2 linked regions of the Drosophila melanogaster genome follow. The protein of the gene in region 2 purifies or fractionates together with the protein of the main gene of each other region. This does not show direct contact. Each region holds a gene or a part of one and is shown on either strand. Other genes may lie near its edges. The genes, in order: dmrt99B and Pgam5.

Region 1 (6,977 bases), on a different chromosome or scaffold from region 2:
AATAGTTTTCCCCGTCGATTTTCCGGGGTCTTGTGGCACTGCCCTCAAAATAGTGGCAAATAGATAATGATGATACGGATTAACGCTTCGCATTATTATTTGGCCATCGCGTGATGACCAGTTGGGAATTTTGAATTTCGAATCGTGGGTGGCCTCTATAATCGCAGTAGTTTCCTATTTGTATTTCAATTTCTTTGGGGTGCTTGTGGGCGGCCCATTGTTATCCGGTCGACTTCTCACGAATATACATTACGTGCTGTGAAAATTGTTTATTTACCCAGCTATGACCCGGACTAAGGGATTTCCGAACAATGGAAGTTTTGTATTAAATATCCTTATTTATTGATCTGATTAGTCAGGCATTTAGCGTAGGCCCAAACGATTTAATTGGAATGCATTATGCATTCATCAAAATAATTACACTATAATTGGGCTATTCAGCACATTCATCAGTACATTTGCAGACTGAAGATGTATCTTATCTATCTATCTATGCATGTAGGAAAAAAAAACACCAATATTCCCCGACAAAAAAATAGCATCGAATTAATTTCTTCATTATTTTATTGAATTATTTGTAGATTTATTAAATACTTTAACACAGTGTTTGAAATGTACTTTATCTAAGACATAATATGATGTTTAATATAATTATATATATGCTCATATTCATATGGTACACACGGATATCTCAATTAGTTGGTTGCAATCAACAATCGCTTACACAATAATCTCATCATCGTCATAATGTTAATTTCAGCTAAACAAATACTTCTTATAACTGGGATCGAGTGTATGGTTTTTCTTAAGTTTTAATTCATTAAACGTATTATTTACTTATACGGTCTCTATGTTACAATACTTGTGCTAAGAGTCGAGGGCAAATGTAATTTACACTTAGTTGCGGGACGTGCACTGCGAGAAACAGTTGCTCAAAAATCAAGAAAGTTCTTTCTGCAATGAAAAACTTCTATGGTTTCAGCTGACTGAAAATATTATAAAAACAAACGAGAGCTCTAAAACTCATTGAAGTTAAGAATTGTGTTCTTGACTCGTAAAGTGTTCACATTTTTCCGCAGTGTAGCAGGGGTGGGAACCTTATTCGAAAGGCCTGAAGACGGATGCGCCGCTGGCCTCCACCTCGATGCCTCAATCCTGGGAGTCGCCAGCATTGCTGGTGCGATCCAACCCTATGCCGCCCGCTCCGTTGGACTCGGATTGCTCGATATCCGCCGCACTGAGCACTCCCGGAAGGTAGCCGGTTCCGGCGTAGGGAGCAGTCAGGAATCGCTTGGCGTGCGCCTGCATGAAGGGATGGTAGCGATGGGTGGGGGAGCCGAAAACCGAGGGCGGCACCAGCGGGGAGAAGGCGGACTTCATGGGAAAGGGCGGCGATGGCGGCACCTGCGGCGGAGTCTGTCCCAAATCCTCGCCAGCCAGCATGCACTCCATGGCCTGGAGCACGTCGCCACGGAACCGCTGCATCAGCTGCTCCACATCGCTGCGCCGTCGGTTGGGGAACACCCTCATCAGGACGTCGATGGGCGATCTCTGCTGCTGTTGCTGCTGCTGCTGCTGTTGCTGGTGGTGCTGTGGCAGGTGGTTCTGCTGCTGCTGCTGCTGCTGTTGCTGCTGCTGGTGGTGCGGCGAGTGTGCCGCTGGGTGGTGGTGGGCGGGCAGGCCGGCGGCGGCCAGGAACTGCGTGTGGTGATATGGCAGGAAGCCCTGGGCATGACTGCTGCTGAAGGATCGCAGCAGATGAAGATTCTCGGCGGGCGTGTTGGGCGGCGACTGGCTGTCCTCCTTCTTGAGACTGAGATTCTCCGGCGTGGCCTCATCCGGCGCCGAATCCACGTCCAGATCCGATTCCGGCGAGCTGGGCGGTCCAGTGCGGGCGGGCGACAAGCTGGCGGTCAGATTGAACAGTCCGGCGACCTTGGGCCGGGGACTACTCGGCGATCCGGACTCGGAGCCCGTGTCCTGGTCGGTCTCGTTCGACAGGGCTGCTCCGCGCTTGGACACTGCAAGCAAGGAATACAATGAAGGTATATACAGATTAGTCGCCAGTTGATATGTAAATGCATTAAGAGTAGTATCTTGTAATAGTTCTCCTACGAGAGTGTGTACTTCCTATTGAGCAATTGTTTTTCCCAAAATCGCAGGTATCGATTTCCATCGACGAAGCGATTCAGGTAGCCAGTGGAAAACCGCACAGTTTCCACTTGGCAGCTTAGAGCAAATAAAAGTATCAAGTGTAGAGATGGGAAGGAATTTAATCAGGGGCATCGCAAACAAAGGCGGTGGAAGGAGCAGGGAGTTCAGGATGCGATGTTGACATGCCAACGAGGGACAACCTGCTGTTTTTTTCCACAAATGAAACAAGCTATATGATATTTTTGTGCGAGTCTGTTTAATTTTGCAGTTGACGAAGCCGCAGTAAAAATTTAATTAAGTCGAGGGTGCGTGGATACCAATACCCAACTCGAATGCCGCACTCTTTAGTCGAAAATAAAAATTCAAGCGTGAAATCGTCTTGGATTTCATGGCAAATAATAGAGTCCGGTACTTAAATAGACAGGTTTTCCCGATTGATTCGCGTGAGAATCCTGCTGTGTTTTTCTTTCTCGAGCTGGAAAAAACCACTTCCTCCGAAAGGGCAAACAAATAAAGACAAGTGAGCTGAGTCAGGGGGGGTATCTCACGTTTCTGGCCTGCCAGAACCCTTGGCATGGGGTTACCTTATGGGTAATAACCCCCATCTGCACAGCCGATAGTCCTAATAAGCAGGCGGGGTCGAAGGTCCTTTCAAATTCTCGACAGACTTGCAACTGTTTGGCGTTTAATGGGCCAGTGGTTTGAGTTGCGATGGCAGGGCAATCTGAGATGATCTGGTTGGAATTGATTGGCTTATTTCGGATAATAACAAATAATGTTGGATAATGTTACAATAACTTTTATTGTTCAGCTATTGAGAGGGTTTTTTTGTGGGAAAAAGAGTAAAATTCTAGCACACAAGTGTTTTGAGACGACCAGCATTTCAGAGTTTGCCATTTGATATTATATGATGTAATGGAACATTTTTGTCGGAAATTTCAAGTTATTTGCCTTTAAAACCTTCCCTGAAATGAGCACCACGTTAAATCAAGTGTTTTCCTCCTAACGAGGACTTTAACTCGATTGTTGCAATTTGCGCCCCTTGATGTCCTGGCCTGGCTGCAACCCCAGGACCTTTTCACGCGCCGCTTGGCAAAGTGCACGACTGCAGCTTGGCTGGCTAAGTCTTTGTCAAAACAACACCTATGCCCCGCTCACTAGCACCACTTCGCCACTTGCATACACGCAGCCAAATGCACATGCAACCGCGAGTGTGGCACTTTATGCACCGCTGATTTCTGAACAATCGAAAACAAATTTTTCTTAACGCGCTTTTAACCTGCCCTCCCCCAAGACTCTCAAGACCTCTTCTTGAGATGGCCAGGCGTGAATGGCTTCTTAAGCGGCTGCACTGCGCAAAATAAGTCAGTGTGTCCTTCGAAATGGAGTGTAATGGAAGTAATGCTATTTCATAAGCAGTAAACATTTGAAGAACTTCAAGGAAAACTGTTTTCTTGGTTTTAGAATAGATCTCAATTTATAAGATATGTGCTGTGATATTTGATGTTACTTCATTTCCCAAGTCACACAGTCACATATTCTCCCGGTGTTAGCTGTGTGCAGTATTCTTTACTTCACTCACCAGGACTCTCATCCAGCTCGGTTCTGGTGGGCGAGAAACCGACGCTGAGGTGCTCGGAACGGGTGCGTCCATCCGTGTCGGATTCATTGCCATTGAACCGCTGGGACTGCTGGTGTGGGTGGCTAAGGTGCTGTTGGTGGTGCGCCTGCTGCTGCTGCTGCGACTGCTGGTGATGATTGGGAGTGGAGCTGGCCTCGAAGCCGTCGCTGGGTGGCGAGGGAATCCCGCCGTGGAAGACGCCGTTCTGGCCCGATCCTCCGCTGCCCGAGCCGCCGCTGCCGCTGTGGTTGGGGCTGTGCGGAGTGGGCGTAGCACTGTCGCTGCCATTCTGCTGGCCAGGAACCGAAGTGTAGAGCAGGCCCAGCTCGCGGGCCTCGTTCTCTTCTTGGGCCTGTTGGCGTCGAAGGGCCACCTGCAACAAGGAGGGCATGGGCGGAAAGCGGATCTTTGATCAGTGGCGTGTAACAGGGAGATGCATTAATATTACTATGATTTTTAACTGAAGTCAACAGAGGAGTTTTGCAATTTTGAAGTAGTACTTGATTTCCATGCTATACTATAAAAAAAAACCTGCTTTTAAGCATACATAGGTTCTCTTTAACTGAACTATATAGATGAATTCAGCAATCTTCTTCATTCTATAACATTTATTCCAATTCTTTCCACGTAATTCCTTCTATATTAAAGTAGAAACCCACCTGAGCAGCCATAACCCTTTGGCGTTCCGCGATTAGAGTGCATTTGGCGCAGACGCAATCCCGCCAGCGGCAGTAGCGTTTGTGTCCCTTCAAGGCGCTGACCTGCAAAAGGTTCGAAATGGAAAGGGGATCCAGTGGGTAAAGAAAATCTCCAGATGCCGGATGGTATATGACCGAGGGACCTACCACTCCGTGGTTCCTGCAGCGGGCGCACTTGGGCGTCCTTTGGTAGCGTTCCGAGGCGGCTCGCAAGAAGAAAGCAGGTGGCAGTGCTCCCAAGACCGGATGCTGGGACATCAGATTCTGCATGTCCACACCCGACGGTAGACTCATTTCGACGTGAAGATCAGAAACCTCGATGTGGATTTAGTTGTTAGGTCAAAAACTTCTGAGCACACACTTCACTTTAGCTTATTTGATTAGTATTTAATTGTTTGTTGTTAGCTTGTAGTTTGATTGTTTTATTGTTTAACTATTTATATCCGCATAGTTCTCGAATTCAATCCACGCGCGCTAACGACATGACACAGTGAGCCCTCGATTGCAACTGATTCAACTTTTGGCCAAAAGGCCGCAGCGCACGACGCTCGACGTCGGACGTTCAGCAATGGCGGCAAGCGGCAACATTTACCAATACAAAAGCGGCTGACGAGGGTTGAAAGTGCGCGGATACGCTCGTGGGCATGTACATGCAAACTGGATATAGGGGATATATCCCCGATTCCGAGAGTGTTGCAACCACCTTTGTGCGCCGCAGCTGCCTGCGTCGGCGTCGCTGCCTGCGCCAACGGCGACGCCGGCTGCGACGGCGGAGGGTTGGCAATTAAGAAAAAAGTTTCAAATCTAATTTGGTACTGTATACAAAATTGTGCACTCGAGGCGGCGACGCGGCGTATGAGTAATGTGGCGGGAGAGCACTCCGCACTGGTTGGTTCTCAAAGGGAATTGCCATGGTAGTGGTGGTGGTGGTGGTGGTGGTGGTGCTTCGGTGGTGTGGTGCTGTTCTGGTGGTTGTTTGGGGTTTCTTTCATTTTCTTTGTTGCCTTTGTTTCACAATTATTTTTTATGCCGCTCTTCAGCTGCTCAACTGCTCAGCGGCTTGCTGTGTGCGTGAGCGCTTGGGGCTCTCGGCTTTTGGGCTAATGGAATAGCCAACCAAAAGCGTTGTTGTTGCGACCTCGCCGCTGGTTGGCATGGCCAACACACACACACACACATACAAACACACTCAACTGACACAGTTGGCAGCGCAGTTGTTGCTTTTCGAGGGGTTTTGGGGGGATATCTAAAATTCCCAGGCCCCTGTTTTTGAAAAACTAAAGTTTCTACCTTAGGTTGTGGCACATCGCCACTTGCTTTTCATTTCCAGCTGCCGCTGTTCAAATGTCTCAAGTGTTGAAATCTCCATGAACAAAATTGACAAACAGAGGCATAATAATTACTTATTTACAGCTGCATAAAAGTATAGACATGAGATGATATGTTAAACAAGAAACAAACCATAAAGATAGGTATTTAACAGAAAATCATAACGTATATTAACTTTTATAGCGTTTAAAAGGATATACAATGTGATATCAATTTGCTACTTTAATCTATTTAAAAGAACAAAACCCATTTTACATAAAGAGTCCTTTACATAATGTGCCGCATATCCCGCTGCGTCGGAATGAGAGTTTTCGTTAGGTAATTTTTAACTTTTTTTTGGCCAGTGGGTTGGGTCTATTGGCCTATTGGAATGTTACAAAATAATTGCAATTGAAACAAACTGAGCACTCGTGCTGAGCGAGCGAGACAGCCGCGTCTGCGAAAGAGGCAGCTGCGCGCGCCTCTCTCTCTCTCTCTCTGACGTTCTTCGTTTCTCCGAGAGATGTTCGCTCTCTCGCGCGGAGACTCCGCCCACGAAAAGAGGAGGAGCCATAGGACTCACGCACACGCTGTAGAAATAGAAGAACATAAAGCGGCAACAATGTTGTACAAGTTGACCAAAAGAAACAAGTTTCCAGTCTGTCTGTGTCGGTGTTTGCGCGCGTGTGCTTGTGTGCGAGTTGCCTAAGGACCTCTACACACACACACACGCACACACACACTGGGAAATAGGGGGCAGTTCCAGTTCCGCTGGCATCGTCTTTTTGGGCAGGTCACAGTTGTTGGCAACAGTAAATGGCCAGAAGCTGCTGCTGCTGCTGTTACCGTGGAGCTACTGGTGTTTTGCGCAGGGCCAATTTCTCGCATTTTAACTTTGTTTAAAGTGCGCCTATGTACACACACTCACATCTACACACAAACACACGCAGGCTGCTGCCCTGGGTGGCCACTTATAAAGTGTTTTTACTGCGACCAAATATGCAAATTAGTTGAGCAGCGCTGGCGATGACAACTTACTTAGTTGTTGTTGCTGCAGAGAGAGAAAATAGTCATGGGTATTAAAAAAAGGTGTAGAGATTTATTTCACGTTGAGATGGTAAGAATGTGATAGAAAATATTATGAAAAATATCTCCTTGGGAAAATGAACACCTATTTTAACAATTCACTACAGTTA
Region 2 (3,500 bases):
ACCACGCAGTTGCAGGCAGGAGTGCCGCCCGAAGGTCGCCTTCCACAAGTGGTTCACAAGATTTTCCCAGTGTTGCTGCAAGGCATTGGTCGACTGCCTTACCGCACGGACGCATACGTGGCCAAGACTTTGGAGCAACTAGTTCAGCACTGGACGCCGCACTTTAGCTTCTCATCCAACGCCAAGCTGGTGGCCCGTCCATATGCCACCCTCCTCCAGGCGGATGTAGATGGAGAGCTGGCGCAGTTTGTGCTTCAGCTCCTCGTTACCCAGTTTTTGGTGGTCCAGCGGCGGAGGGCAGGACAGCATGCGGGCTTGGTGATCACTATAATGCAGCAACTGATAGAGAGCACTGGCAAAGAGCAGGAAGAACAGCTGCTAACCGTTTTGCGCGGCGTGCACATCCCGCTGCTGGAACACGTAATGTTCGTGGACGAAGTGGACCTCAGTCGCAACCAAGTGTTTGGACTTTATAAAGTGCTTATATCGCACGATGCCTACAAGCGATCACAGGCGGTCAGGGATATGTGCTCCAATCACTTGCGATCCCTCGCCGAAAAGCACCTGGCCCACTGCACTTACTTTTACTTCCAGATGCTGATCAACCTGGCAGAGCTGGCGCCGGATCTAGTGGCTCCCATCCTATCCTTTATAAGGGAGCAGGCAGAGCAGGTGGAGCTAAAACGCGGCGCTGGAGAAGATGTGGGCATACGCAAGTGCTTGCAGCGACTCCAAAAGGTCTTGAGCAGGGTTTAGGCTCCTCATGGCTTCTTTTGTACATATAAGGATTCTCAATAAAATGTTAGGCATTCTATAAAATCTTTATTATTTCAGTCGGAAGATTCAATGATTCCTCCTTAAGAGATATACGTTACGGTGCGGCAAAATGTACATGGTGGTTTACACAGTCTCGCGATCTGTGCTCAAGGTCTCAGTTAAAGTGTTGGAAATAAATACATTATGATTGCTTCTCCTTTGGGCAGTTCTATAAACAGACGGCTAAACCACGTTTTTGACGTCGCGCGGTATGCGATTGGTAAGCAGCTCGGCGGGCATAAAGCCGGAGTCGCCCAGGTACTTGATGGACACGTTGCCGGATGGACTGATGGTCAGCCAGGTGATGGAAGCGTGATTAATGTTAATCCGTAGCCAACCCTCGGCGGGGAACTGCAGGGCTCGGCAGACAAAGTAGCGGATCACGTTGCCGTGTCCCACGATCAGGGTATAGCTCTCCTTCTCTTGGTCGGGATAGGCGCGGTGGAAGTATCGGCGAAAGCCGGCCTCTATGCGCGATCCGTCGCGAAGGAACTGCTGCAGTGAAATGAAAGCCGAATATCATGTGGAATACGCACTGGGTTGACCCTTGACTTGACTTACAGATGCCTCCGGCTTCCAGTGGCCGACTGGCGGCTGGGGCGGAATAGGCGCTCCTTCACGCAGGAAGGCACAGTTCACCACTTTCTCTTTTTCGAAATCGATCTGCTTGAGAATAATATCGGAAGTCTCCTGGGCCCGCACCATTGTGGAGGCTACTACCTTGTCCCACTTGATGCCCAGCTCGCAGAGCCGTTTCCCAGTAAACTCCGCCTGCTTGCGGCCGCGCTCCGTGAGATGATGCGTGTCATCCGAGTCACCCACGTCCAGATACTCGCCATGCCGCACTAGGATAATGTGGCGCGCCTTCTTGGCCTTCGCCTTCTCAAGCTCCGCGTTGTAGCGGTTCTCCTCCTCCGGCTGGCTGTTTCGCAGTGGACGCACGAGGGCCCGTGGCTCCCGGCAATCCCAGTTGGTGTCCCAAAGGGCCCACGGATCCACCGGCTTATCACTGTGCGTCCACGAGTTCTGCACGACCGTCTGCGGGTCCCGCAGCCGCTGTAGGTAGTAAGCCGCCAGTCCGGCTCCTGTGCCGCACACGAAGCTAGTCAACTTTCGCATCGTTAGGGCTTTTAGGTATTTTCTTTAATTTTAGTTTTGTTCCGCTGAATAAGTGCGGTATTTAAATACTGCGATTTGGTATTTGACATACTAGGTTAGCGGGTATATAAATACCGCGCAAGACCATTTAGAATTCAACTATCGAAAAGTTACCAAGATGAATCAAAAATACGAAATATATTTACACAATTATTGTATACCAAGAAAATTAAGGATCCACAATCAATTGTTTCGTTAATTATTCCGTATGTGTTTCTTAAAGAAATACCATGCAAATACTGAATACTGAAAAGTACCAGCGCTGGCACTCCTTAATAACAATCAGGTTGACGCGATATGGCAACGCCGTAGTGTGAAAAATTGCAATTTTTTTCATTTCACACACACAGACGCGACAGATACGCCAGCATCGGAACGAAGGACGTAAAAAGGCCGCAGAAAAACGCCTATCAAAGCTGAGGTTTATTGAAGGGGTTATCAGAAAGATATCTCTAGGAAAAGCCGCCAACAGGAGTCACAGCGTCGACATTCCATCGGAGCAGCAAGAAGCAGAGGCGGGGGCAATAAGAAACGGAAGAAGAAGAAGCCGATTCGACGTTTATCAATTATGAATTTCCTGGGATTCGGCCAGTCAGCGGACATTGAGATAGTCTTTGATGGAGCTGAGCACAAGACGGCAGAGGTTAAAGGGGAGGACGGCAAAGTGGAGAAGATGCTGCTATTCTACGACGGGGAGACGGTATCCGGCAAGGTGCGTCGTGGTCAGCATCGGGGGGAGTTCCCCCAAGCATAACCAGAGATAAACCCATATCCACCCCCTTTTCATCCAGGTGAACGTGACCCTCAAGAAGCCGGGCAGCAAGCTGGAGCACCAGGGCATTAAGATCGAATTCATTGGCCAGATCGAACTGTACTACGACCGGGGTAACCACCACGAATTCAAGTGTCTAGCGAAGGCCCTGGCCCGCCCGGGCGATCTCATCCAGAACAACAGCTATCCATTCGATTTCCCCAAAGTGGAGAAGCAATTCGAGGTGTACGCCGGCTCGAACGTGCGGTTGCGGTACTTCCTGCGCGCAACCATCGTCAGGCGGATCAGCGACATAACGAAGGAGGTCGACATCGCCGTGCACACACTGTGCAGCTACCCGGAGATGAACAACCCCATCAAGATGGAGGTAGGCATCGAAGACTGCCTGCACATCGAATTCGAGTATAACAAAAGCAAGTACCACCTGCGGGACACGATTATCGGCAAGATCTACTTCCTGTTGGTGCGCATTAAGATCAAGCACATGGAGATTGCGATCATCAAGAAGGAGAGCACGGGCACGGGCCCCACCATGTTTAACGAAAACGAAACGATTGCCAAGTACGAGATCATGGACGGAGCGCCCGTCAAAGGCGAGAGCATACCCATCCGGGTCTTTCTTGCTGGCTACAATCTCACGCCGACCATGCGGGACATTAACAAGAAGTTCTCAGTCAAGTATTTCCTCAACCTTGTGCTGATGGACACCGAGGACCGGCGCTACTTCAAACAACAGGAGATCACGCTGTGGCGC

The links.
Region 1: the proteins of Pgam5 (region 2) and dmrt99B purify together in Drosophila melanogaster (affinity purification with mass spectrometry, with the first as the bait; one large-scale study listed by BioGRID). This does not show direct contact.

The regions. Positions count from the first base shown.
Region 1 is NT_033777.3:29,690,597-29,697,573, reverse strand, and holds dmrt99B (doublesex-Mab related 99B), read right to left. Parts: upstream 4,984-6,977; 5' UTR 4,768-4,983; coding exon 4,621-4,767; intron 4,537-4,620; coding exon 4,435-4,536; intron 4,149-4,434; coding exon 3,737-4,148; intron 2,022-3,736; coding exon 1,150-2,021; 3' UTR 549-1,149; downstream 1-548.
Region 2 is NC_004354.4:1,871,596-1,875,095, forward strand, and holds Pgam5 (phosphoglycerate mutase 5), read right to left. Parts: upstream 1,971-3,500; 5' UTR 1,936-1,970; coding exon 1,378-1,935; intron 1,312-1,377; coding exon 1,000-1,311; 3' UTR 805-999; downstream 1-804. Other genes in the region: CG14803 (uncharacterized protein), read left to right, coding at 1-756; Vps26 (vacuolar protein sorting 26), read left to right, coding at 2,543-2,686, 2,766-3,500. UniProt on the Drosophila melanogaster protein: Displays phosphatase activity for serine/threonine residues, and dephosphorylates and activates Pk92B kinase. Has apparently no phosphoglycerate mutase activity.